Linked DNA regions of Sus scrofa. The protein of the gene in region 1 interacts with the protein of each later gene in a pairwise test. Links are inferred from orthologs where the notes say so. Each region holds a gene or a part of one and is shown in the gene's direction. Other genes may lie near its edges. The genes, in order: DHPS, EIF5A2, REL, MAPK3, NIF3L1, RPL9 and NUDT18.

What was found.
Region 2: the proteins of DHPS (region 1) and EIF5A2 interact in binary tests that used the Homo sapiens proteins (3 or more experiments, as listed by UniProt). The two-hybrid records come from large-scale screens. The link is inferred for Sus scrofa from reciprocal best matches to the Homo sapiens genes DHPS and EIF5A2.
Region 3: the proteins of DHPS (region 1) and REL interact in binary tests that used the Homo sapiens proteins (3 or more experiments, as listed by UniProt). The two-hybrid records come from large-scale screens. The link is inferred for Sus scrofa from reciprocal best matches to the Homo sapiens genes DHPS and REL.
Region 4: the proteins of DHPS (region 1) and MAPK3 interact in binary tests that used the Homo sapiens proteins (3 or more experiments, as listed by UniProt). The link is inferred for Sus scrofa from reciprocal best matches to the Homo sapiens genes DHPS and MAPK3.
Region 5: the proteins of DHPS (region 1) and NIF3L1 interact in binary tests that used the Homo sapiens proteins (3 or more experiments, as listed by UniProt). The two-hybrid records come from large-scale screens. The link is inferred for Sus scrofa from reciprocal best matches to the Homo sapiens genes DHPS and NIF3L1.
Region 6: the proteins of DHPS (region 1) and RPL9 interact in binary tests that used the Homo sapiens proteins (3 or more experiments, as listed by UniProt). The two-hybrid records come from large-scale screens. The link is inferred for Sus scrofa from reciprocal best matches to the Homo sapiens genes DHPS and RPL9.
Region 7: the proteins of DHPS (region 1) and NUDT18 interact in binary tests that used the Homo sapiens proteins (3 or more experiments, as listed by UniProt). The two-hybrid records come from large-scale screens. The link is inferred for Sus scrofa from reciprocal best matches to the Homo sapiens genes DHPS and NUDT18.

Annotation. Positions count from the first base shown.
Region 1 is NC_010444.4:66,306,169-66,308,317, forward strand, and holds the end of DHPS (deoxyhypusine synthase), read left to right. Parts: intron 1-20; coding exon 21-124; intron 125-1,157; coding exon 1,158-1,283; intron 1,284-1,379; coding exon 1,380-1,475; 3' UTR 1,476-1,605; downstream 1,606-2,149. Other genes in the region: WDR83 (WD repeat domain-containing protein 83), read right to left, coding at 1,661-1,798. UniProt on the Homo sapiens protein: Catalyzes the NAD-dependent oxidative cleavage of spermidine and the subsequent transfer of the butylamine moiety of spermidine to the epsilon-amino group of a critical lysine residue of the eIF-5A precursor protein to form the intermediate deoxyhypusine residue.
Region 2 is NC_010455.5:109,527,635-109,531,864, reverse strand, and holds the start of EIF5A2 (eukaryotic translation initiation factor 5A-2), read left to right. Parts: upstream 1-1,414; 5' UTR 1,415-1,561; intron 1,562-2,232; 5' UTR 2,233-2,267; coding exon 2,268-2,432; intron 2,433-2,954; coding exon 2,955-3,059; intron 3,060-4,230. UniProt on the Homo sapiens protein: Translation factor that promotes translation elongation and termination, particularly upon ribosome stalling at specific amino acid sequence contexts.
Region 3 is NC_010445.4:80,874,198-80,877,747, reverse strand, and holds part of REL (proto-oncogene c-Rel), read left to right. Parts: intron 1-620; coding exon 621-1,393; 3' UTR 1,394-3,550. UniProt on the Homo sapiens protein: Proto-oncogene that may play a role in differentiation and lymphopoiesis.
Region 4 is NC_010445.4:18,296,576-18,300,880, reverse strand, and holds the start of MAPK3 (mitogen-activated protein kinase 3), read left to right. Parts: upstream 1-1,470; 5' UTR 1,471-1,491; coding exon 1,492-1,664; intron 1,665-2,704; coding exon 2,705-2,887; intron 2,888-4,305.
Region 5 is NC_010457.5:104,582,317-104,586,613, forward strand, and holds the start of NIF3L1 (NIF3-like protein 1), read left to right. Parts: upstream 1-1,484; 5' UTR 1,485-2,692; coding exon 2,693-2,848; exon of another isoform or gene 2,849-3,042; coding exon 3,043-3,517; intron 3,518-4,297. Other genes in the region: PPIL3 (peptidyl-prolyl cis-trans isomerase-like 3), read right to left, coding at 377-379. UniProt on the Homo sapiens protein: May function as a transcriptional corepressor through its interaction with COPS2, negatively regulating the expression of genes involved in neuronal differentiation.
Region 6 is NC_010450.4:30,696,389-30,700,666, reverse strand, and holds the start of RPL9 (60S ribosomal protein L9), read left to right. Parts: upstream 1-1,477; 5' UTR 1,478-1,500; exon of another isoform or gene 1,501-1,566; intron 1,567-1,949; 5' UTR 1,950-1,950; coding exon 1,951-1,996; intron 1,997-2,086; coding exon 2,087-2,202; intron 2,203-3,190; coding exon 3,191-3,286; intron 3,287-4,278. Other genes in the region: LIAS (lipoyl synthase, mitochondrial), read right to left, coding at 51-223, 1,109-1,219.
Region 7 is NC_010456.5:6,378,890-6,383,010, reverse strand, and holds NUDT18 (8-oxo-dGDP phosphatase NUDT18), read left to right. Parts: upstream 1-1,298; 5' UTR 1,299-1,453; coding exon 1,454-1,615; intron 1,616-2,536; coding exon 2,537-2,750; intron 2,751-3,003; coding exon 3,004-3,596; 3' UTR 3,597-4,024; downstream 4,025-4,121. UniProt on the Homo sapiens protein: Mediates the hydrolysis of oxidized nucleoside diphosphate derivatives. Hydrolyzes 8-oxo-7,8-dihydroguanine (8-oxo-Gua)-containing deoxyribo- and ribonucleoside diphosphates to the monophosphates. Hydrolyzes 8-oxo-dGDP and 8-oxo-GDP with the same efficiencies.

The DNA of each region.
Region 1 (2,149 bases):
GACACAGCCCCCTCTCCCAGACCTGAGGCTCATCAACACACAGGCCATCTTCGCCAAGCGCTCTGGGATGATCATCCTGGGTGGTGGCATGGTCAAGCACCACATTGCCAACGCCAACCTCATGGTGAGCAGGGATGGGGTATGTGTGGTCCCTAGTAGGGGTGGCCTGCCGTGCAGACAGGCTGGTCTCATGCCACATGCTGGGGAGACAGCTGTGGACTGGACAGGCCAGGATCTCTGTCTTCCTGGAACTGATGTTCTAGTCGGGGATATAGACAGTGGAACGAGTGACATGTATAGCAGGTGGCAGTGACTGCTATGGAGAAAAATAAGGGAGGATGGTGAGATGGGAAGAGAAAGGGGTGCTGTTCAAAAAAGGGAAACCATGGAGTTCCTGTCATGGCGCAGCGGAAATGAATCCGACTAGGAACCATGAGGTTTTGGGTTCGATCCCTCATCTCGCTCAGTGGGTTAAGGATCCAGCGTTGCCATGAGCTGTGGTGTAGGCCGGCAGCTGTAGCTCCAATTAGACCCCTACCCTGGGAATCTCCATATGCCATGGGTGCGGCCCTAAAAAGCCAAAAAAAAGGAAAAACAAAAAAATGTGACCTATGAGCAGAGGTTTTCAGGGCGTGCCCCTGTGAGGAATGTGGTTATGTGGCCGGCTGGAGGGTGGGGGAGATAACAGTTTGTGCAAAGGTTCTCAGGTGCCTGAAGTTGGTCAAGGAACAGTTAGGAGGCTGGTGAAGGAGAGTGGGAGGTGAGGGTGGGGGAGGTGATTCAAAGTGCAGGGCGGGGGCCTTGAGGGCCACTCAAGTGCTCAAAAGTGCCCTCTGGGGGAACAAATGGCGGGAGGGGAGGGGATGGCGCATAGAGAGGGGAGAGATACTTAGGTTTGGAAGTCTCTTGTTGAGTTGGTGGCAAATGTTGGAGGGCTGTTGCTACCTAGGAAGTGAGTCTGGAGCAGCGCTGCCCACTGTCTGCCTGGCATCCCCCAGCTCCTCACTCTACCCAGATGTTGACACTGGGCCTTTCCCTTGGAGGGAGGGGTCACCAGGGCTTCTTTTATATGGGATGGAGCCCTCAGCAGCCTCTGGCTGTGGTGCCCTGCCTTGGGATGTGTCTGGCTGACCAGCCCACTCTGCCCCTCCCCATAGCGGAATGGGGCTGACTATGCGGTCTACATCAACACAGCCCAGGAGTTTGATGGCTCTGATTCAGGCGCCCGGCCCGATGAGGCTGTCTCTTGGGGCAAGATCCGGATGGATGCACAGCCGGTCAAGGTGAGGGCTGGCCAGCCAGCTGGGGCACAGGGTCTCCCAGGCTGTGGCCACAGGTCCCTTGGCTCACCTGGGTCTCCCCCGCCATCCCCCCCACAGGTCTATGCTGATGCTTCCCTGGTCTTCCCACTGCTCGTGGCTGAAACCTTTGCCCAGAAGGCCAATGCCTTTATGCCCGAAAAGAACGAGGACTGAACACTGGATGGTGCAGCCCCAGGGAGGCCTCACCCCTCCTTTATTTATTAGTTTGCAGACCCAGCCAGCCTCTTCCCCACTCCCTGGTCAACAGCATCTCTAGAATAAATGGTCTCAGTGGTCCTTCTCAGGCGGTCTCTCTGTGTCCTTGGTAGTGGGTCCCCTGGCTTCAACCTGCGCCCCCCTCAGTCAGCTTCATAGGCCTCTTCCCGCCAGCACTGGACACTGCCCCCCATGGCGGTCAACAGGCAGGGCTCCGTGGGGTGGTAGGCCAGTGACTGCACCACACTGGGACCCACGGGCAGGGCCAGCACCAGGACACCCTGTGGAGGGAGGGGGTAGGGAGTGGTCATCAGTGTCTCTCTCCCCTCAGTCGCCTCTCCCCTGCTCTCAGCCACAGGCCGGTAATTGCTTCTAAGATACCATAAACCTAACCAGCTCCAAACTGAACCCCTCGGTCACTCATTCTTCCAGGTGCTGAGGCCAAACACCTCGAATCTTTCTCTCACACCTGACATCCCTTTGTCAGTAAATCCTCTTGGCTTGGCCTTTAGCCTAGGAACTGATGACTCTCATGTGGGTCCCCGCTTCCCCACCCCCCTGCTGCCACCTGGGCTCCACCTGCCAACTTGACGGTCTTAGTGCTCACTTCCTTCATCACCCTGCAGTCATGG
Region 2 (4,230 bases), on another chromosome or scaffold:
TCTTTTCTAGGGCCACTCCCGCGGCATGTGGAGGTTCCCAGGCTAGGGGTTCAATCAGAGCTGTAGCCACTGGCCTATGCCAGAGCCACAGCAACATGGGATCCCAGCCGCGTCTGCAACGTTTACCACAGCTCACTGCAATGCCGGATCGTTAACCCACTGAGCAAGGGCGGGGACCAAACCCGCAACCGCATGGTTCCTAGTCGGATTCGTTAACCACTGCGCCACGATGGGAACTCCAGAACACATCTCTTTTTAAGAATCTTCGTCCTGGAGTTCCCGTCGTGGCGCAGTGGTTAACGAATCCGACTAGGAACCATGCGGTTGCGGGTTTGGTCCCCGCCCTTGCTCAGTGGGTTAACGATCCGGCGTTGCCTTGAGCTGTGGTGTAGGTTGCAGACGCGGCTCCGATCCCACGTTGCTGTGGCTCTGGAGTAGGCCAGTGGCTGCAGCTCCGATTCGACCCCTAGCCTGGGAACCTCCATATGCCGCAGGAGCGGCCCAAGAAATGGCAAAAAGACAAAAAAAAAAAAAAAAAAAAAAAAAAAAGAATCTTCGTCCTAATCCTATTCAAGTCGCTATTGGTACCACGTTGATTCCAAGACAAACCAAACTGCTCTAATGAGGTATGGACACACCTCAGACTTGAAGGAAGGCAATTCCAGGACGAAGGAAGAGCTGAGTTTGGCAAGAACATCTTTCTGCTGGATAACGCAGTAGGAATCTGACACTCATTTGCCTCCAAAACTCCGCAACAGCGTCCGGTGTGAGAAGTGAGTTAGGTCATTCCACAGCTTTTTAGTTCTTGGACGTCTCAGCCTCCTCTTCCCCTGCCCCGCCAGAGCGCTGCTGATCCAGGCGGGGCACCAGTGGCAGTGGCTGCCAGAACCTCATCATGGGTGGCTGGGGTCACCCGCACAGCCTGCAGTGGGGGCCAGGTAGACTACATTGGCTCTTCCCCAAGGAAGAAGCATGGTTTTGAAAGCCAAGAAGGGCTGCAAGTTGGGCCAGAAATGGGAACCCAAAGTTCCCTCCACAGCCACAAGGGATAACCATTGAATTATCAAGCCTCGCGAAGTCTGACAGCTGTCACGTGACAACCGCCTGGCACCTGAGGGCAAAGGCCACGGAGCGCGTGGCTTGGTTCTCCTTAACTTCAACTGAGACGCCAACGCAAAGAACTCAAAAGTTTGAGGGAACAAGTTTCCTTGCCGGCGTGTTTACCCTCAACAACCGAACTCCAGAAAGTGCTCTTCACGCCGGAAGTGCACTAATCCGCAGCACGTGGGGTTGCCAGGTCGCTCTTCACGTGACTGGGCGGGCCCTCGGGAACCATGTAGCCAATGGTAGCGCGAGAGGGCGGTGCCTATGACGCGCCGGGACCTATCCCGGAAGTGGAGCTGAGGTGGGGGCGGGAAAGGGCGGGGAGGCCGGGGTGTGGAAAGTGTGACGGCCCCGCCCCGTCTCTTGGAACTGCGGCGGCCGCCACAGCTGCCGCCGCCGCAGCTGTGGGGGACCCGCACCGGTGCGCAGGCAAAAGGCACTCTTTCCCGGCTGAAAGGTGAAGAATAGGGGAAAGGCTGGTGGGGCCGGGACCGGAGCGAGGCAGGGCAGAAGAAGCCGGCCAGAGCCCAGCCCCAACCGAGGAAAAAAGGAAGGATGGATGGGGGACCGAGGCGAGCGCGGGACCCGCCAGGGCTCAGGCCCGTGCGGGACCGGGCCGGGGATGCTGGCAGGACAGGGGGCGTCTGAGAGGTCGAGGTGACGGCGCTGCGGGCTGGGAGGAGAAGTGCGCACACGCTGCCCGAGGGCCAAGTGCTGCTGGCCAGGTGCTGTTATCCCCATCCTTCGCGGGGACGTGCGGCCTGGGCTGGGCCCCCCCACAGTGGGGATCCGGGCGGCTGCGGAGGGCCAGACTGCGCGGCACAGTGCGGGAAGGTCGCCAGCTTCTTCTGCGATGGGACTGTGGGGGCCGGGATTTGCTGCCCTCAGCGCGGGTGAGCGCCCAAGGCGGGGATTCCCCATCCACAGCCAGCTTTTCTTCGACTTCCCTCCCACCTCCCTACCAGAGGATGGAAAAGTTTGTAAGGCCAGAGTTAGAAAGTCCCTACTCTTCTGGGTGGGTGTTCTATAAATGCAAAAATAATAGACCCATAATGCTTGGAAACCCGAAATGAGGGGTTTCCCTGCCTGCATGCCAGTTGTTAAAAAGCAAACAAACTTTTTGCATAGTTCCCTCAGAAAAGCAACCATCTTCCCAGCCCACCATGGCGGATGAAATTGATTTCACTACTGGAGATGCTGGAGCTTCCAGCACTTACCCTATGCAGTGTTCGGCCCTGCGCAAAAACGGCTTCGTGGTGCTCAAAGGTCGACCATGCAAAATAGTGGAGATGTCAACTTCCAAAACTGGAAAGCACGGTCATGCCAAGGTAAATGCCCTTTCAGGTCTATCTCGGGGTTGGGATTTTGATTATTTGTATTCCATTACAGAACATGAGTTTTCTGTACTTATAATTGTTTAATATCCCATAGTTACTGGGTGATTAGCTATTTGAATACTGAAAGGTAATATTTCCTTCTTCGGCTCTTATAATGTTTCATTAACTGTAAACTGAAACTTTCCTGAATCCTAGTAACTTAGTCTATTTAGTTTACAAATGAAAAAACCTAACATCATTCTAAGGAACCTAACTTCATTTTTCTTAAGCATTCTTATGACTGAATTATTAGACTATATGATATTGGGTCTTGATATGTCATGATATTCTTTAGTTGTTCACTGCTTCTCAGTTGTATGCCACTACATTTTTTTTTTTAAGAAAGTAAAATTAGATGACCTTGGAAGGTGAAAGAATCTGTCATAATCAGTGCTGGTATTATGCTCCTGTGTATGTAATGAGTGATATCTTGGCAAAGATTAAACAGGTTTCCTGTTCTCCTTTCTCTGTTAGGTTCACCTTGTTGGAATTGATATTTTCACTGGCAAAAAGTATGAAGATATTTGCCCTTCCACTCACAACATGGATGTTCCAAATATTAAGAGAAATGATTATCAAGTAAGTACTAATTTCCTTTAGAATACTATTCATGTCCTCAAGGTGCAGATACTTTCTACTGCCATTGTAATTTAATAAAACCCACAAGTAGTTTTGTAGGTTTTTCTAACCAATTATTAGGTACCACTTACCATAGAAGATTGGAGAAATAGTAATATTTAACACCTGTACCTTAACTAGGATGATAGCTAGTCTGCATTTTTAAACATTCTTGCATTTTTTAAAATTCGAACAATCATTGTTTCTCAGATCAAGTGACTGACTCCCTATTGTTAGTCCAGTGTTTATTAAAATTACTATTCTCTTTGTTATAAATTATTTCAAGTTTAGATAACTCCCTCCTGGGTATTTCTTTTCACTTATCAGACTTCAGGTGCTCAAGAAATTATTGGAATTCATCTTCTGCCGACCAAGTTTGTGCATATTAATGAATGTGTGTCAGAATTTGGTGTTCTTAAATGGGGAAATTAGTTGAAAGTGTATAAAATATAGCGTCACTGAATATGGTGAAGAAAATACAAAAACTCTGTTTTTTGGGTTTTTTTGTCTTTTTGCCTTTTCTAGGGCCGCACATGCAGCACATGGAGGCTCCCAGGCTGGGGGTCCAATTGGAACTGTAGCTGCTGGCCTACGCCTGAGCCACAGCAATAGCAACATGGGATCCAAGCTGTGTCTACTACCCACACCACAGCTTACGGCAACACCAGATCCCTAACCCACTGAGCAAGGCCAGGGATCGAACCTGAAACCTCATGGTTCCTAGTCAGATTCGTTAACTACCAAGCCACTATGGGAAATCCGAAAATACAAAAACTTTGTAATTGTTTTATTTATGTTCCATGACCGTGCTGTGACCTTTGGTTAAATTATGTGTATAAACTGCAATTTTTAGTTACAGTTATACATTTGGATAAGTCATATTTAATGATAGCACTTTCTTGTTTGGAGTATTCTTGGTAACTAAACCACTGACCTCATAGGATGTGGGAGCTCAGATTAATCTTGAAAGTCTTCAATTTTTTTATCTTGTATTGAACTCTTTTCTATTCATTTTACACAGTGAAATATACAAGTGTAATACTCAGATTTGTTTTATCCAATTTAAGCTGATTTCTTTCTATACCTTATACTGTGTTGTATAATTTTTTTTTTTTTTTTTTTTTTTTTTGTC
Region 3 (3,550 bases), on another chromosome or scaffold:
AAAACTGGAGAATATGAAATGACTTTTACTCTTTGGAGACCCATTAACTGAAATTCTGATATTTATCTTTCACAGTTCAAAAATACCTTTTTTTTTTTTTTTGCTTTTTACGGCCACACTTGTGGCATATGGAGGTTTCCAGGCTAGGGGTCTCATCGGAGCTACAGCTGCCAGCCTACACCATAGCTGCAGCAACACAGGATCTGAGCCGCATCTGTGACCTACACCACAGCTCATGACAGCGCCAGATCCTTAACCCACTGAGAGAGGCCAGGGATCGAACCTGCAACCTCACGGTTCCTAGTCAGATTCGTTTCCAATGCGCCACGACAGGAACTCCCAAAATACCTTTATAGGACCTTGGAAATTATATTTTCACAATTAACTGGAATGAAATTTTCTATGCCAAAATAACCAAAATCATTTTATAGGTATTTGTGAAACAATAAGCATTAGAGAAGTCAATTCTGGACTCCTGTAATAGTTACCATTTTTATTTGAAATGTTACATTAATTTCCTTGAAAATTTTTAGTGTGTTTATGTAATTTTAATTTAGAAATAATACTTTTAATAATTTCGTTCATTTCAGTTTTGTAAAAATACATTTCATCTCCCACAGAATCAAACTTGTTTTCTCATGGTGCAGTTTTGACAGAAACATCCAGGCCAGTTTCAAGTCAAGCAGAATCCTACTATTCCTCATCCATCTCAAGTGCATTGTCACATCCTGCTTCAACCATACCCACAATGGTACCTCAGCCTTCTTCAAGCTGGTCATCAGTGGCCCGCCCCACCTCACGCTCAGTCAATACAAATTCACTGAGTGGTTTCTCACCAGGGACCCTTTCCTCTAATTCACATGTTATCACGCCATTCCTGGAAATGCCTGTTATGAATGATCTGAATACTTCTAATGCTTGCATTTATAATAATACAAATGACATAGGCAGAATGGAAGCATCGTCTGTGTCACCAGCTGACTTATATGGTATTTCTGATGCCAGCATGCTGCCTCATTGTCCTGTGAACATGATAACGCCCAGTAACGACAGCATGAGGGAGACTGATAATCCGAGACTTGTGAGCGTGAATCTTGAAAACCCTTCCTGTAATTCAGTGTTAGACCCAAGAGACTTGAGACAGCTCCATCAGATGTCGTCTTCCAGTATGTCAACAGTCACCAGCTCCAGTACTACTGCTTTTGTTTCCCAGTCAGAGGCATTTGAGGGATCTGACTTTAATTGTGCAGATAACAGTATGATAAACGAGTCAGGACCATCAAACAGTACTAATCCAAACAGTCATGGTTTTGTTCAAAATAGTCAGTATTCAGGTATTGGCACTACGCAGAATGAACAATTGAGTGACTCATTTGCATTTGAGTTTTTTTAGGTTAACTTGTAAGATTTAAATGGTGAATTAATTAAATCTCTTGGAGTTCCCATTGTGGCTCAGTGAAAATGAACCTGACCAGTGTCCATGATGATGCAGGTTCAATCCCAGGCCTTGCTCAGTGGGTTAAGGATTTGGTATTGCCACAAGCTTCCATGTAGGTTGCAGACGTGGTTTGGATCTCACTTTGCTGGGGCATGGGCTGGCAGCTTGAGCGCCAGTTCGACCCCTAGCCTGGGAACTTCCATATGCCGTGGGTGCGGCCATAAAAATTTTAAAAATAAAAAACAAAATAAAGGAAACTTCTAAAAAAAGAATTCAATCTCTTTAAAGGTTGTCACCATTTTGATTTTATCTATGTAGATGCAAAATTTTATATTTCTCTGACTACAACTGTGACACAAGGGAGTTTTTTGGTTATGTTTTAGGGATGATAGTTCAAAAACATATTTATCAGAGGGAATAGTATCTTGAACAACACATGTTTGAACTGTGTGGTCCATTGTGCAGTACACAGATTTTTTTTTTACTGTTCAAGTACTGCAGTACTACACGATTTGAGACGGGCTGAATTCATGGATGCAGAATTGCAGAGACAGGAGGCCATCTGTAGAGTTTTAAAGTTAAACATGGATTTTCCACTGTACAGAGGCTCAGTGCCCCAACCCCTGTGTTGTTCAAGGGTCAACTGTAATTATAACTTTAGGTATGTAGAGGATGGATTGCTCTAACAGGCAGTCTTGGCTTGGGAGCTTCTTGTTTTGCTGGCAGAGAATTTGTCGAGATAAAATGAAAGATGAATTCTCAGTGCTTGAAGCTGCAGCTTAAAAAGGGAGATGAACTCATTTCCCACTTTCAGGAAGAGCTAGAAAAATTTGTCCAGCATTTACAGAAGACTTTTGCTTCAAAAGTAGATAAATCCACACAGACCGAACTCCTAGGCTGTGATGCATTGTGGAATCCTACATACAATTAAACTGGGAATTTCCTGGTGGCCTAGTGGTTAAGGACTCAGCATTGTCACTGCTATGGCTCGGGTTCCGTCTCTGGCCTGGGAACTTCCGTGTGCTATGAGTATGGCCAAAAAACCCCCCCTTTAAACCTGTATATACTCTTGGTATGCAGAATACAAAGTTGGAAACAGTCACAAAAGGAAAATTTTCCAAAATAGAAATTTAAAAGGGCTTTACTATTTCTTCTTTTATTATTTTTTTTTTTTTTCCTTTTGAAGACATGTGATCTCATTCTGTGTGTGGTGGGAATTGTCTTGAGAGTCCTGTCACTTTTTCGCAAGACAGACTGAGAACATTATAGCAAGGCTATAATGTTTTTCCAGGTACACTTTTTTGGTTTTTTAATTTTAATTTTTATTTATTTTTGGGGAGGTTTTTTTGTTTGTTTGTTTGTTTTTTGCTTTTTAGGGCATATGGAAGTTCCCATGCTAGGGGTTGAATCAAAGCTGCAGCTGCTGGCCTATACCACAGGCACAGCAATGCAGGATCCTTAACCCACTAAGCAAGGCGAGGGATCAAACCTGTGTCCCCATGGATACTAGTCAGATTAGTTACCACTGAGCCATTATGGGAACTCCCCTGAGCACTCTTTTATACTTCTTTTATGATGTATTAATATATTCTTAGTTAAGTGAACTAATTCATATTTGCTTTTAAGCAAATTGAAGGTAAAACCTGTAATGGCTATGCCATTGGAAAAATTAATTCCTTATTATTTTTGAGGCCCATGGGCCAAGGTGACCCCTAAGGGGTTTTCTGAGGCTTCTTGGAGTTTCCTAGATTTACATGTAAATAAAAATTTCTTTAAAATGCCAAATTGAGAGGGAACATACCTTGATATAATAAAAGCCATTTATGACAAATCCACAGCAAATACTCAATGGAGAAAAGCTGAAAGCCTTTTTCCACTAAAATCTGAAACAAGGATGCCCACTCTCACCACTTTATTCAACATAGTATTGGAAGTCCTGGTCACAACAACCAGACAAACAAAAGAAATAAAAGATATCCAAATTGGAAGAGGAGAAGTAAAATTATCACTGTATGCAGATGACGTGATACTACATATAGAAAACCCTAAGGACTCCACACAAAAACTGCTTGAACTGATCAACAAATTCAGCAAAGTAGCACAAGATTAATA
Region 4 (4,305 bases), on another chromosome or scaffold:
GGTGGGCCCTCTCTCCAGTTTTTTAGCAGACTCTGATTCTGGGAAACAGAATGGAATTAAAAAGAGCCTCTGCTTCTCTGTCAGAAGACACCATGTTGAGTCTCAGCTCCCCAACTCCAGATTTCCTGTTCTGTAAAACTTGATTCATCCATTAATTTTTTTTTTTTTGAGTGTCTGAGGGTCGAGGATTCAGCCATGAACAAGAAAGACATGGCCCCTGCCTACCCAGTTAAGAAAGGCAGATGAGAAGTTCCCGTCGTGTCACAGTGGTTAACAAATCTGACCAGAGCCATGAGGTTGTGGGTTCGATCCCTGGCCTTGCTCAGTGGGTTAAGGATCCAGTGTTGCCCTGAGCTGTGGTGTAGGTCACAGACACGGCTCAGATCTGGCGTGTCTGTGGCTGTGGTGTAGGCCGGCAGCTGTAGCTCCAATTGGACCCCTAGCCTGGGAACCTCTATATGCCGTGGGTGTGGCCCTGAAAAGCAAAAAGAAAAAAAAGAAAGAAAAGCAGTTGACGTTTATATTGTGGGATTGTTCTAATGAAGCGACTAGAGTGGGCCAAGTATTAAGTATATGTTCAAGTCTCATACAGAATCAAAATATGATGATCTTAACAGGATTCCAATTTTTGCCAAATCCAATGACAGAAAAAAAGTTACCCGTCTTGCTATATTTGGGCAAAGCCTGATCGTGTCAACCTTGCATGCAGCTCTCTGGACTCTCCCCCCCTTTCCCTGTAAAGGAAGCATGGGATCATCAATGATATGATCCTGGGGATACCAGTACCGCCTGGGTGCTGAGGCCAGGTCCCTAGCCCACTCTGGCAGGCCTCCAGTCAAAAGCCATTAGGCTGGGAGTCCGGACACCTGGGCTTTCCAGATCTCAAGTTGTCTGCGCGATTCCAAAGGACCTTGCGCTGCTCAGCCTTCAGTTTCCTCATTTGTGAAAGGCAGGCTACCTCTAGGAGAAAGCCATCTCCCACCGCTTTTGTGAAATATGCATGGGATCACTTAGCATCGGGCCGGGCTCAGGGAGGCCAAACGCCAGAGGGCTGGTGAGGGTCCCCTAAGGTTCCATCTGGAGCCGGACCACTCAGCCGGGCTGAGTGGGGCTGGCAAAAGCAGCGGGGACCAGGCGGCCCAGTCTTGGCCCCTCATCCCAGCCCTTGTTTGGTGGCTCTGGGTGAGGTCACTGGGGCGGCCCTACTGGCTGTTCTGCATTGGAGGGGGGGAGTGGGGTTCTGGACCGTCTCAGACGGCCCTGGGGAGCTTCTAGATTGACCGAGTAGACGGAGCCCACAAGTGCCAGGGACCATGGCATCCGTGCCCAGAAAGCTGGGCGCCGCTGCGGGGGGGTGGGGGTCACGTGACGGGCGCGGGGGCGGGCGGGGGCGGGGTCTGGCGCGCGCGCGGCTCCGCGGGTGACAGGGCGGGCGGGAAGGGGCGGGGCCGCCGGGGGGGGAGGCGGGCGGGCGGGAGGGGAGGAGTGGAGATGGCGGCGGCGGCGGCGGCTCAGGGGGGCGGGGGCGGGGAGCCCCGGGGAGCCGATGGGGTCGGCCCTGGGGTCCCGGGGGAAGTGGAGATAGTAAAGGGGCAGCCGTTCGACGTGGGCCCGCGCTACACGCAGCTGCAATACATCGGCGAGGGCGCGTACGGCATGGTCAGGTGAGGGGCGTTCCAGGGGAGGGGGCGTCTTAGAGGAGGGCGATCCCAGGGAGGGGTGCTGAGAGCTCTCTAAGGCCTTGGGGTCTCTGAGCATCGTGAAGCCGCAGGGGCTTCGGGAGGCTGGAGAGCGCCCCAGGGAGAGGGCCTTGGAGTGCTTTCTGGGGGAGGGGGCGCTGCCTACGATCTAAGAAGAGGGGGGCTTGGGGGGTTTTGAGGGGAACCTTCTCTAATGAAGGGAAGGGCCTCTAGGTGGGGGAGCTGTGGGGACCTTGGGCAGTCTATAGCCACAGGGCGAAGAGAAGAGAATAAGTCTTCTGGGGGAGGTCATATCCTTGGTGAAAACGGCAGGAAGGACCCTTCCCAGGGAAAGGGCGCCTGGGATCTGCCCCCCGGGAGTCGAATCTAGGAGTTTGGGAGAGAAGAGCAGAGCTCAGGGCTGGACAGGGTGGGGCAGGGCTTTGGGCCTGGGGCCAGGGACCCAGTGAGCAATGAGGGGGTCCCGGAGTGCCTTCTTGCAACTTTCAGGAGGGCTCTGTGAGTTCTCCCAGCCCCACTGGGGGCCCTGGGCCTTTGTTCATCAGGGATTAGCTCTGCTGCCCGGGAACCTCCCCCTGACACCCGCCCCTGCTGCATCCCTTCTCTCCCATCCCTCCTTCTTCCTGGATTCGCCTCCCTGTATGTCCCTCACACCTCCCGCCCCTGGCCCTGTCTTGGGTAGAGGGAGCCCATCCGGGGAAGGGGAGGATGAGGGGTGAGGGCCACTAGAATGGAAAGGGTTGAGGAGAAGGGAAGTCAGCGATCGGTCAGTCCCTTCCTCTGTTTGTGAAGTCACTGAAGGGCTGCCTGGCTGGTCCCCAGCTTTCTCCCTGGAGATCCCAGGCCTTCACAGCAGGAAGGAACCAGCATTGTTTATGACTGGCTCTGGCCAGTCTCTCCTGCTCCCTCCCCTCCCTGCCAAGGCCTGGGTGGGGCCCGCCGCCGGGCCTGGACTCCCCCCGCTTGGTAAGGCCACACCACCAACATCTCTCCGGCCCTCTCAGCTCAGCTTACGACCATGTGCGCAAGACTCGAGTGGCCATCAAGAAAATCAGCCCTTTTGAGCATCAGACCTACTGCCAGCGGACCTTGCGAGAGATCCAGATCTTGCTACGCTTCCGCCACGAGAACGTCATTGGCATCCGAGACATTCTGCGGGCACCCACCCTGGAAGCCATGAGGGATGTGTATCCTTCACCTTGGCCAGACGGCTGGCCGGGCACAGCTTCAGAGCTGGGCTGGGAGAATGTTGGCTTGCTTTCTGTTTCCTTCTTCCCTACCACCCTTCCAGACAACCCCAGTTCAACAGACTTTCCAGCAGAAAGAGGCCACAAGGTGTACGAGGACCGGCCAGGCCGTGTGGCCTTGGGCAAGTCTGTTCTCTAAGCTCTGCCCCAGGAGGGGGCTGGGGAAGATGGTGTCTATGGGAGCTTTGTCTTGTGACATCTGCCGTCCTGTGACGTGACCCAGCCTCTGCCCACAGTCAGTTCTTTTGTTTAACAGAGGGCGATTCTTTCTTGCCTGGGTCCTCGGACTCGAAGGAAGAAAAGTGCCCCCTTTTTGAGGGCCTACTATGAGTCTGGGTGCATTGTGCACCGAGTGCGTCGACATTTCTTAATCTGACCCCCAGCTGCCCTCTGCGCTGGGGCTCATCAGCCCCATTTCAAAGAGGAGGAGACTGAGGCTCAGAAAGGCCAACGTCAGGTGCCTGTGGCTGCCTCCACCCTTCCCCCAGATGAGAACCTGTCCTCCTGTCTCTGGGACTTCCCGCTTAGATCCCCACCCTGATCCCCCGTGGACTTGCACCTTGCCCAGGGAGGGTCAGCCTTGCCTTCGTTGCCCTCCCCCCATTGCCACTTTCCTAGCTTGTTGTCCACTTCCTGCCTGGCACTGTTAGCAGCTCGTAACACCCATTGCCTCTCCCCTACCCCACCCCCCAGTCCCAGTCCTCCACCCAAGAGTGGGGATTTGTACTGCAGTGTCTGCAGCCCCCACCACAAAGTGTGGGCAGGAAATCTCCATGCTTACCCCCAGCTTCCCGTGTGACCTTAACCAAGTCACTGCACCTTGCTGGGCTTCCTTATCTTTAAAACAGGGGAAGTTGCCGTCGTGGCTCGGCGGTAACAAACTCCACCAGTATCCAGGAGGATGCGAGTTCGATCCCCTGCCTCAGTGGGTTGGGGATCCAGCATTGTCATGAGCTGTGGTGTAGGTCGCAGACTCGGCTCGGATCCCGCGTGGTTGTGGCTGTGGCTGTGGCATGGGCTGGCAGCTGCAGCTCCCATTCTTCCCCTGGCCTGGGAACTTCCATATGCTGCAGGTGTGGCCCTAAAAAGCAGAAAGAAAAAACAACAACAAACAACGCAGCAGGGTTGGTCCGGATGTTCTCAGAAGGCCCTTTTGAGGCCGATTCTGACAGTCCTAATTTATTCTTCCAGAAACAAGTCATGTGACATTTCTTTATGTTTAATCTGTTTTATCTTAGGATCTAAAAGGACTCATATACCCCTCGATCTTCGGGTGTATGGCCAAGCACCCTGAGTAGGAGCCTGCTGTTGGGGGTTTCTCCTCATTTGTCTTGCACAAACCATGCCCAGAAGGCAGG
Region 5 (4,297 bases), on another chromosome or scaffold:
GGGGTTGAATTGGAGCTACAGCTGCTGGCCTACACCAAAGCCATGGCAACCTGGGATCCAAGCCAAATCTGCAACCTACACCACAGCTGACGGCAACACGGGATCCTTAACCCACTGAGCAAGGCCAGGGATCGAACCTGAATCCTCATGGAGGCTAGTCAGATTTGTTACCACTGAGCCACAATGGGAACTCCGAAAAACATAAGAATTTTAAAGTGATTTTGTTTCGGTTTTGTTTAGAATCATTTTATACTCTACACTTCTACAGCTTATCATTTGTCTTGTCATTGAAATCTCCATGCAGTTTTATTTCCCTTGACTAGATTTCTAAAAATTATATATACAAAGACATTCATAAGAATTCTATAAAACTTACCATTTTTCTTCTTGATGGTTTCAGGATGTACTGTTACTTTCTTACAGTTTATTGACAGAAGTTCAAAAACGAGCCTCTATTTCCAAAAGAAAAAGAATTAATTCATTTCCCTCTTTTAACTCAAACATGCTCATGTTTCCTGCATATTTAAAAGAAAAATTCTCGAGGAGAACAGATCCCTCCCAAGTAATCCGGTTGTGGAAGCGATCAAGCAATCCTACTCATCTCCAGCCCCTAAACTCCTACTTCCCCTGCTTACTCTTCAAGAAGAGTCTGATACATTTCTGCCTTAAGCCTAGCATTGGGTTTTCCCTTCGCCTGGAACACTTACACTCAGTACGGCTATTTCCCTCACCTCCAAGTCGCTGCTCAAAAGTTAAGTCTCATTGACCTGATAAATCTATTTAATACTGTCTTAAAGATTTCCTTTCCCTAAAGCACTTAGCACTAATATATTATATGCTTTAATTGCTTAATTCAACAACACCCTCCCCTCCAGAATACTCACTCCAAGCAGCTTAAAAACTAAAGCATAGAGCGCTCTTCCAGTGTTCAAGTGAATGAAAGAGTAAGTGACGCTACCCCATACTTACTTAACCACTTCACTGAATACAGATATTTTTTTAGTCAAGAAATAGATTAAGATAGGAAGCTTGTGAGAAATTCAAGTGGTCAGGCAAGGAGGCTCTGCCCACAGCTGTTGTTAAAACAGCAAAGATTCAATAACAGGTGCTCCGGAGAGTCTGTAAATTCCAAGAAAGTTTCTTCAGGCCGCCACCCGGAAGTCGAGCAGGAGACCCACTTAGGAGAACGCCCCTCCTCTGCTCACCTCCTTCCTCCTCCTCCCTATCCCAAACCCAACCGACCAGAACGAGGGAGAGGATGTAATTTATCCCCATCAGGAACTCCTTTGACCTTAGAGAACTTCTTAAATAATCACACTAGGACAAAAGGCGTAATGTTGGGCAATCCCTACAGGCGCCCCTGAACTCAGATGCAAAATAGGAAAGACCTCTTCCGCCCAGCTCCCCCGCCCCGCCCACTTTTACGCCTCCAGGAAGTTCTGCGCAGGACCGGAAGTAGCGCTCTTGGCAACCTGGGACTGGTGATTCTCCGGTGGGTTAGATTCCTGCGTGCGGCAATGAGGCCCTGTCGGCGCGCTGTGGCCCTTGCAGGCTGAGGTTTTGGGGGTGCTGCCGCGAAAGGAGGCGGGGGAGGAGATAGGCGCAGAAAACCGGTTTGCTGCACCAGAGCCTAGGGTTCTAGAGCGGCCAGGGTCCTGACTCGCGGCTTGCCCACTGTGCTCCCCGCACTTTTAATTGTTCTGGAAAAGGCTTGAAGTGGGGCTGAAATAAGAGGGCGAGGTTCACAGGCTGTAAAGTGGGTCCTGCTAATAATACTTATTAACAAGCAGTGCTGACTTTAGGCCAAGCATTTTCTCCAACTTTACGGTGAAATCTTGCGACGATACCGTGAGCTGAACGCTATTCTATTCTTCAGAGATGGGAACCGCAGAGATAGAGTAATCTGTTTAGACAGCTGCGGCTCGGGGAGTCAGTCTGGTTTTAGGGTCAGGTGCCCTTCACACTGTGCCCTGCTGCCTCCTATTCTTGTTAATGAGCTACGCAGCTTGTAGATTCATAGGAAATGGTGGTTTTGTTATTTCCAAGGGCTGCTTCAGATCTAACAATAGATAACTCAAAACCAGTGTGGTGGCCCACTAGAGCTTCACTTTAGCGCTTGCCAGATTTAGAAGTCTGGGGAGTTGGAGTAGTGTCAGGGAATCTGGAGAGTGGAAGTGGTATAAGGACCCTTAGAAGATCTTCAAAGACCCCAGGCTCCAGTGGTTTGTGGAGGCTCCACATGACTCCAAACCATATACTGAATATGGTTTGGGGCCCATTTGCTGCCCATTCATAGAGTGATCCACGTACGCATCCCATGATTCTGGCTGCTGACAAAACACTTCATTTTTAAAATATGTTGTTGTTACTTTTTTCCCATAAAGCACCTTTTAATGTTTGTCTCTACCACCATAACTTAATTCTGCTGTGATAAGGGAATGGAGACTGTGCCGGTCTGTGCAGTAAGCATTTAGCACTGGCCTGTATTGGTGATACTGAGATACAGAAGAGATAGTTCCTGTTCTCTGGTAGCTTGCCAGTACTGTGGGAGACAGAAAACAGGAATGTAACATAAGAAAAACTAGGGCAGAAGCAGGTGGGATGGGGGAGGGGGACACAGAAAAGGAAGGTTTGTTAAGAAAAGCTTTATTTAGGAAGTCAAAGGGGACTTGGAAAGAAGGGTAATAGAGAAATGGAGAAGGCTGGTTCAAGCAAGGATGGGGTGAGCAAGAACAAGGATGTGGGGTGGGGGCAGGAAGGAGATGAACATAATTGTGTGTTATCTACCAGGCTTGTTCCTGGTGACTTAAACATAGTAATCCATTTGCTTCTCCAGATGGCCCGTGAGGTAAGTTATAGTCCCTCCATTTTGTAGATTCGAAGACAAGCTCAGAGGAGTTAAATGACTTAGCTATGATACGACGTGCTGGTAAGTAGCAAAGCCAGTACTTGAACCTCGGTTGAAGGATGGCAGCTCTTCTGCTCATATGCTTTGCTGTCTCAAAGGTCAGAGTCTGAAGTGCACGTGTATTTCATTTTCAGTGTTTTGACATCAGATACTCGGTTTCACCTGACTTCTCTATGTTGTTATCCCGTGTACGCCTGGCCTCCACGACAGTCCGATTTGTTCATTCCCTGATCTGCAGTTCTTCCCGTTCCTTCATGGATTTGAAGGCCCTCCTTTCTTCCTTGAATGACTTTGCATCCCTCTCATTTGCTGAAAGTTGGGACAATGTTGGATTACTGGTGGAACCAAGCCCACCACACACGGTGAGCACCCTCTTCCTCACCAATGACTTGACAGAGGAAGTGATGGAGGAGGCACTGCAGAAGAAGGCCGATCTCATTCTCTCCTACCATCCGCCCATTTTCCGACCCATGAAGCGAATCACCTGGAAAAGCTGGAAGGAACGCCTGGTGATCCGGGCACTCGAGAACCGAGTTGGGATCTACTCTCCTCACACAGCCTATGATGCTGCCCCCCAGGGAGTCAACCACTGGTTGGCTAAAGGGCTTGGTGAGAAGCCTATTGGTCTTTCATGCTTAGTATTTTCCCTACCAATGATGTGAAATTTTAGAATGTCTTTCCTGTAGTGTGTTAACCACTATAAGGGGGAGGACCATTATTCTGTTTTTATGTATTTTAAAATAATCTTGCTGAAACTTGACAGTTAAATTGCACTGAAAAATGAAAATTTGGGGAGTTCTCTTGTGCTGTAATGGATTAAGGATCCCCGGCATTGTCACTGCAGCAGTCCAGGTTGCAGCTGTGGCTGGGAATTTCCAAGGGCTGTGGGTGCAGCCAAAAAAAAGTGTTTTGTTTTGTTTTCTTTTCTTTTTCTCTTTTTATCCTTAATGAATAAGGAGTTCATCAGAAGTCTTTATTTATTTATTTATTTATTTGTCTTTTTGCTATTTCTTTGGGGCTGCTCCCACGGCATATGGAGGTTCCCAGGCTAGGGGGGGTCGAATCGGAACTGTAGCCACCGGCCTACGCCAGAGCCACAGCAACGCGGGATCCGAGCCGCATCTGCAACCTACACCACAGCTCACGGCAACCCCGGATCGTTAACCCACTGAGCAAGGGCAGGGACCAAACCCGCAACCTCATGGTTCCTAGTTGGATTCGTTAACCACTGCGCCACGACGGGAACTCCAGAAGTCTTTATTTTTGACTAAATTTTGTGATTCCTTACTCATGGAGCACAGTGCCTAGCATTTGGGCACTCCAGAAATGCTTGTTAACTGAAAGCTCAGGCCTCTCTAGAATCTACTTCATATGTCTAGTAAAATAGAG
Region 6 (4,278 bases), on another chromosome or scaffold:
ATGCACAATGAAGGAATAGGACATTAAAATTACCTCAAAATTTCAATTACCTTTCTCCTTTCTGGCGTTTTAGGTTTCCTTTATAGTCATCCCAGGTGCTCTTGTCTGCAAGATCACCAGATAGAAAATCTTGAAGGTCTGGTCCATTCTGTAAAAATTCCTTTTTTTTATCTGGCAAGGAACTTATTGCTCTGACTGGACTGCATAAATATCTTCCAAATACCTACAGAAAGAGTTCATTGTGACATTTATTTAGGGGGCTTTGGAATAACTTAGTATTAAACTCGTTTAATACCTAAAAGGATGGGTAAAGCCACAGAACTGATTCAGAAATTATGTTAATCTATTTACGAGCTCAATGTAAGGAGCTCAGAATCTGAAATTAAAGATGACCCAAGGAGAACAAACCAAACCCAAAGGAGAATGGGAGCTACAGCTTTGAATTTTCTATTCCTGACTTGAGTCAAGTATGTTTAAATGAAATTTGAAATTAATCTCTCTGCTTTGGGCTTGAATAAGAATACCTGCTAAAACACGGAGGTAGTTCTCAGCTGATTTCAGAGAAGTGGAAGAAGGGAAACTAAACCTAATGTTTTAATTTTCTTGGTTATACTGTGTGTGAACAAGGAAGTCACTCATGTATTTGTTGACCATAAGAAGCCATCGGTTTCTAGATTTGAACACATACATGTACAAGACAGACAAAACACCATAAAATTCAAGAGGTAGTACTGTTAAAGCAAAAGAACCTTCAACTATTAAAAAAAAAAAAAAAAAAAAAAAAGAGTGCCTATTAGGATGCTGCACGATAGCTACTGTACTTGCCCAGGTCTCTCGCTCAAGCCTGGAGCACAGACTTGGGTTTTAATCGCCCAAAGTGGTGTCTAGTACACAGGAGACACCAACACCAAGTAGTAATTTGGAGTTTCATTGCAGCGCTTCTATAGTGCTCCAATAAATACAAGAGTACAAATCATTGCATTGATAGCAGGAAAAAAGGTCTCAGAGCGCGGGCCACAGACTTACAAAAAAACCAGTATCAGGTCTTAACTTCATGACCATGTCAGAATTAAATGAGACGCTATACGAAAAATGTTTAGAACAGTACCTGGCTAGAAGTAAACGCCGGGTAAGCGCTGGCATTATCGGGCACTTTCAGGGATGGGAACCCCCACCCCACGCCCGCTCCCTTTTCGCCCCGCCGCTCACCCGGGGGCATACAGTGCGGACGGCGCCCCGGCAGCGTAGAGCCATCCTGCACTTTTTTTTTCTGGCAGGGAGGAACAATCACTAATTCCCGGGAAAAGAGAAGGACACACCGTCGCTCCACTTATGACAAACAACCTGAGCCAACACTGACCCGGTGGAACCTGCGCTGCTCTACGATTGGCTGCTTTAGCCTCGTGGTGTCGCGCGCTTATGACGCCATACGCAGGACCCTTACGTACTACAAAAGCGTGATGACGAAAGACGCTCTCTCTTTGCCGCATCTACTGCGAGGTAAGGTGGATTCTGTATTCGGTGGGCCTTGGGAATCTGAAGGCATCGGCTTTGGGAAAGCCAGAGGTGCGGGTGTGGCCCTCGGAAACCGTGTCTTGTTTGTCTCCCTGCGCGGCGAGCGTCATATGAGTCTGGTGGCGATGGGGTTCGAGCCTTGTATTGGGCTTTTAGGCCTACTGCCGCCCTTCAGCCTTGCCGGGATGGCGCCGACTTGATAGGACTTCCCAGAGCTGCGCTGACCGGGAGTTCGCCCGCTGGGTTTTTAATAACTGTTTAGGAGCTGCTCCTTCCAAGCCAAGGCGCAGCTGGGGCCGTTTCCGGGATTAGTCCTCTGTATCCTCCCCGAGATTTTTGCCTGCCGGTCTCTGGTAGGAGTGGAGTTCTGTGCAAGGTAGTTCGGCCCAAAACAAATCCTGTGCGACCTTCTTACCCAAGTGTTTGTGTTTCAGAATGAAGACCATTCTCAGCAATCAGACTGTCGACATTCCAGAAAATGGTAGGAGACTTGGTGCTTGCTTTTTTCATATGTTTTTACTGCGTGCGTTCTAATTTGTTTCGATGCCTCACGAGTATGTTTCTTTCATAGTCGACATCACACTAAAAGGACGCACAGTCATTGTGAAGGGCCCCAGAGGCACTCTGAGGAGGGACTTCAACCACATCAATGTAGAACTCAGTCTCCTTGGAAAGAAAAAGAAGAGGGTGAGTTTTGTTTAATCACCTCAGTTTGTTTGGAAAGTTGTAATTTAAGAATATCAAGTTGTTTTAAAAACTACAGAATTGAGCAGCAACATGGATGGAATAGAGACTCATACCAAGTGAGGTACGTTAGAGAAAGACATACCATTTGATGGATAATTTTTTCTCTGGAGTCTAACAGCACCAAAGAATTTACCTACAGAAAAGAAACTCTTGGACTTGGGGAACAGACTATTGGTTCTAGTCTGTTCTAGTCTAGGCGGAGGGAGTGGGATGGACTGGGAGTTTGGGGTTAGTAGATGCAAACATTGCATTTGGAGTGGATAAGCAATGAGATCCTGCTGTACAGCATAGGGAACTACAGTCACTTGTGATGGAACATGAAGGAGGATAATGTGAGAAAAGGAATGAATATTTATATGTATGAATGAGTGACTTTAAAGCAGAAGTTGATGGAATGTTGTAAGTCAACCATAATAGAAGAAATAAAAACTTTTGAGAAATTATGGAATTGAGGTTCAATGTTTTATCTTATAATTTAGTGTCCAAAATTGTAACTAGTTTTTTTTTTTGTTGTCGGTGCTTTAGTGAAATTGGAAAACCAAAGTAAACTGGGTTATAAACCTCAGTACTGGTAATATTTATTAAATAGCAGGCCTTAATACTGTTAGAAATTGGGTTTATTTTTCTTGATTGTTTTGTAAGGATCATAGTGGTGCAGCAGAGTTCTTTTGAACCTGGTATTTTAGCTTTCCAGAAGTGAAGTTTGATGCAACTTGTACAAAACTTTCTGGGTTGTTCCTCTGTGAAAGTGTATACTTCTAATGTATAGTAACAAAAACCGTTAATTGCTGAGGGCTTTGTGGTTGCTTTTTTTTTTTGTAATTAGGACAAATACTAGAATCTAGAGTAATTACTGTGGATAAATGGACCTTATTTCAAGGCTACTTAATACTGGAAAGAATTTTCTGAAGTTTTTGTTCTGTTACAGCTCCGGGTTGACAAATGGTGGGGAAATAGAAAGGAACTGGCAACTGTTCGCACCATCTGTAGTCATGTACAGAATATGATCAAGGGTGTTACACTGGTAAGCAGATTAATCAGACTTCTTGTCTTAGAAGGGGGAGGTTTGTCAGCTATCTTTATGTATGCAACATAAATGTCTATTGTAGAAAATACTTTGTGCGAGTAACTTATACTTGCATATAACTTAGCGGCTGTAGTATTTTGGAAAAGGTGATCTTGGCAAATGTGTTAGGTATTCCTGGGTCTTATGATAAAGGGAGATACATAAGTCTAGACCAGATGGTCTTGATAATACGCTGATTATATATATATTTGTTTTACCCGAAAGATAACATTCACAATTTCAGGGGGGTTTTTAATAGAAAATGTTAACACATAGAATGGTTGGTTTCTTGTCTTATGCCTCTCACCACCAGGGTATCTTGTGGGAATTAGGGAAAGATTAAGTCTTATTTCTGAGCTTTCAGTCTTTAAGGTAAAGTTGATTCTGGATATTTGCTGGAGTGTTTCTGTTTCAGCCTTTCTAGAGCGCAATCTGATAGCGGCACCCTGTACGCAACTCCATTATAAGCCTTTCAGGCCATGTCTCCCCTTGTGTTTCCAGTCTTTGTTTGCGGGGGGCGGCGGTGGTGTCTTGATATTCTCAATTCTGGCCCTCTGGCATACCATAGTAATTCAGTATGTTAGCCTAATGCCCAAGATGAAGGGCTTTAGAGTTATACTTTAATAGGAGGCTAGCATTGTTCACCACGGGCAAAGGAGGTAGTAAAATATCTGCTTCCTTAGGAGCTTTGCAGTCCATTGAGGAGACAGAAACAAATGTATTTAAAATTGTTCTGAGGGAGTTCCCTTTGTGATTCAGCAGTTACAGACCGAACTAGTGTCCATGAGGATGTGGGTTCTATCCCTGGCCTTGCTCAGTGGGTTAAGGATCTGGCGTTGCTGTGGCTGTGGTGTAGACTGGCAGGTGCAGCCATAAAAAGCAAAAAATAAATAAAATTGCTGTGAAGCTTTGGTGTGGGTGATAGTTTAAAAAAATGACAATGATGGGAG
Region 7 (4,121 bases), on another chromosome or scaffold:
ATGGCAGCTCTCTAGGCACATCTTGTGAAAGTGGGTCTTTGTGTGGTAGCAACAAGTGCTGTGGCCAGAAGGTTGGTGGGCTGCCTGTTGATGGTGACCCACACTTCGCAGTCTACCGGGCTCCTCTCACGACGTCTCACCTTCCCGACAGCCCTGGGAAGGAAGAGCTGTCAGGAGCTTACTGTACAGATGAGGGAACAGGCCCACAACTTACTCAGGGCACAGATCAGCCAGGGAGCAGTGGCTGGGCATCCAGCTCCAAGTCCAATGCTTTGTCTGCTCCACCAAGCAACTGTCACCCCAAAAGGGATGTGCCCAAAGCCAGCAGAAGGGAAATGGGAGATCTCACTGGGGCTGAGCAGCTCAGAAATGGCTGGTTTCAGTTTCATGCCAGCTGGCCCTGCCTCCCTGTCCTGAGAGGAGGTTAAAGACGCTCTGAGGAGGCAAGGTCAGGCCAGGGGAGAGGCAGGAGCTCCCCAAAAAACAACCCGCACCTGGCTGTCAATGGACCAGGCCCTGTGAAAGTGTTAGGGGTGTGTGTGTGCAACAATGACAAAAGGCAGAACCCCGCCCCTGGCGGGAGAGGGCCCTGAAACTGATGATTGGGAAATGTGGCCGCCGGAGGCGAGGGACCAGGGACACTGCTGAGGGCTGATCCCAGGCCCTTTCTCTGCATCAAATCCTCGCCTCCCAGCCTCCCACCGCCAGGCACACCTTGACCTTCCCAGCTCTGCTCCCTCCCTCCTCTGAGCGCCTGTAGCAATTCCTGCCCAAACCAGTCATTTAGCACTTGGCTTATTAAGTCCATTGACTTTCCATTATATAGCTATGGCCACCTCTCCAGCTGGATCGGAATCTCCTCCAAGGCAGGAGCTCTCGTCCTCCTTGCCCCGTGACATTCTAAGCGAAGAAAGGTTATTTGGGCAGTGTCATTTCAGGTAATGCAGTGGTATGTTTATGACAAAAGCTAGCCAGTGGGTCCAAGCCGTGGGCGGACCCGGTGACAGCATCGGGCTTGTGACGTCACCGTCGCTGGCGGCTGCGGCGCTCCGCAGCCTGCGGGCAGGGTGACGTCACCGTCGGAACCCGTTCAGACAAGTGCGCGCGGGAGGAATTAGCGAGGCTGGCGGCGGGAGACGCCGGGGAGAAAGGAGGGAGCCACCGAGCGTCAGAAGCCTGCCGGGGGCCGCAGAGCGGGGGCGCGGCGCCCAGCCCCTTATGGACTGGCTCCGCCTCACAGTGACGAACACGCTCTAGCCAATCCTAGCCGGCCGCGGTGACGCGTAGCCTATCAGCGGCCAGGGCCTGCCGGGTGCTTCCGCGTTCGCGAGCGCTCTCCGCCCGAGCCCGCAGGGGGAGGGGTTGGGGGCGACGAGTCCCTTGGTCACCCACGTCCACCCTACCCTTCTCGGCGGGTCTTCGGGGCCCTCCCCATCGCCTTTTAGGGGACCCGATGGCCTCGGAAGGCCTTGCGGGGGCGCTGGCGGCCGTTCTGGGGGGCCGGGGTCTGCGGGTACAGAGCTGCGATTCGAAACCGGCCGGGGAGCCGCTGGCGCCCGTGCGGCTGCGGAAGAATGTCTGCTACGTGGTGCTGGCCGTGTTCCTCAACGAGCAGGTGAGCGTCCGCCGGTCGGGCCCACCGCCCGGACCTCCGGAGCGCGCAGCCAGCCCCGGTGGGGACCGAGGACCTACCGGCAGCAGCCACCGCTTCCTGGTGTGTGGCTCTTCCCAGTTTTGCAAAGCACTCTTACACTTATATCTGAGCCTGGTGCGGCCGAGCCCTGCAATTGTCACGAAGTACAGAGGAGGAAACTGAGGCCCAGGAGCCGTCTGTCTCATCCCACTAGGCCTCAGTTTCTTGAGGAGAGGGCTGTCTCTTCCTCCTCTTTTCCCCAGAATCTAGCAAAGTGCCCGCCGCGACGTGGTTTTTTTTTTAAAAGATCTGTCCAGTTCTTCAGAGATTCCCCCCTTGGGTCCCATGGGCAGTAACTGCACAACCTGCGCTTACACTCTGACCTTCTGACTTCCTGTGTGATGCTCATTTTGGTGTAGATCCCTGCATAAGTGGCTTGTAAAAAGAGCTAGAAGGCGTCAGGGCCATAGGTAGGAGTTCAATGGGGCCATGGTTTGGGGTGTGTTTCAAAGCTGACAGCCCAGTGTGAAGACTGGCCACAAGCAGTTTATAAACCACGAGGGAGGTGGGAGAGATCATTGACTGGTGCAGACAGAAATCATGGCGGGGCACATGGTAACAACCCTCGCTGTGAGGCCTGTTCTCTGGCCCCTGAAGCAGCTCACAGGAATCTCAGCCCCCTTCTGAAATGGAAACTTGAATACAAAGTGGGATGAATTGCAGAGACAGCTGCAATCTACCAACACACAAGGGCCAGGCCCCTGGGGAGCTCAGCAATTTCAGGGTGTCCACTAGCAGCTGTACCTGAGCTTTGATCTCGGCAAGTGAAGGTTGCTGGCTGTCCCACTCCCCTGGAGCTCCCAGCCCAGCTGTGGTGGCTAAGAATCCTCTCTCTCCCCTCAGGATGAGGTGCTACTCGTCCAGGAAGCCAAGAAAGAGTGCCGTGGGTCGTGGTACCTACCCGCGGGGAGGATGGAGCCTGGGGAGACCATCGTGGAGGCGCTGCAGCGGGAGGTGAAGGAGGAGGCTGGGCTGCACTGTGAGCCTCTGACACTGCTGTCCTTGGAGGAGCGGGGCCCCTCCTGGATCCGCTTCGTGTTCCTTGCTCGCCCTACAGGTATGGCCCAGTGGGTGGCAGTGTGGGCAGGGGCAGTTGACACCATTTCCCCAGCTTGTTCTCAGGTGAGCTGAACCCCTGTTCTGGCTGGTTCAAGCCTGGCATCGCCAGATTCCAGTTTGAGACTTGACTCAGGGCCTCCTGTGCACCTGCTGGGTCAGAGCTCGATTCCTGGGTGGGCCTTTATTCTGCCAGGTCCAGCACTTCCCTCAACAGACTTTTTCCACGTCCTTTTCCCCCACATCTATCCCAGGTGGAATTCTTAAGACTTCCAAGGAAGCAGATGCAGAGTCCTTGCAGGCTGGCTGGTACCCACGAACCTCTCTGCCCACTCCACTTCGAGCCCATGACATTCTGCACTTGGTAGAGCTAGCCGTGCAGTATCGCCAGCAAGCCAGGCACCCTCTCATTCTGCCCCAAGAGCTTCCCTGCAGTTTGATCTGCCAGCGGCTTGTGGCCACCTTTACCAGTGTCCAGACAGTGTGGGTGCTGGTTGGCACTGTGGGGATGCCTCACTTGCCCATCACCGCCTGTGGCTTTGCTCCCATGGACCAGAGGGGTGGCATCAAGATGGCTGTCCTGAGGCTGCTACAGGAGTGCCTGACCCTGCACCATTTGGCAGTGGAGACCAAGGGGTTGCTTGGACTGCAGCACCTGGGCAGAGACCAAACGGATGGCATCTGCTTAAACGTGCTGGTGACGGTGGCTTTCCGGAATCCAGGTATCCAAAATGAGCCCCCAAAGGTTCGGGGTGAGAACTTCTTTTGGTGGAAGGTGGAGGAAGACCTACAAAGCCAGCTCTTACAGAGGCTTCAGGAATCATCTGTGGTCCCAATCAATAGATAGGAGGCTGCTGTCTGTGGGCCAGGACATGGGCATCTCTGCTTTAGAGGAGGCTTTGCCTCCTCTAAGGGGGACAGGGTTGGCAGTCAGGGATCTTGTCACATCAGAACCAGGACAGTTCTCCTGGCTCCGAGGGAGACTTCTGTCTCTCATCACCATGGACCAGGTTTCTGCATTGCACCAAAAGAGACAGTGCCTTCAATCAAGCAGAGCTCATAGACCCAGTTGCCCAAGGGGACAATGATGGCATGACTCCCTAAGGGGATGTGAGGACTTTCTGAACCAGGGGTGGCATCGCCTCATCATTTTCCAGGCCTGCCTCAGTGAAGGCTTCATCCGGATCCTTGGGCACTTGGAACAGGGAGGGGGCACTGAGGAAGGTCATTCCAAGGGAGTGGGTCCCTGGCTGAGTAAAGAGGTGTTGCTCACTTTGCCTTCTCACCTCATTGTCTCTGCGGGGAGGGAATGAGCAGGAAGGTGGTGGTGGGGCATTCCCACTGTGGCTCAGTGGTAACAAACTCAACTAGC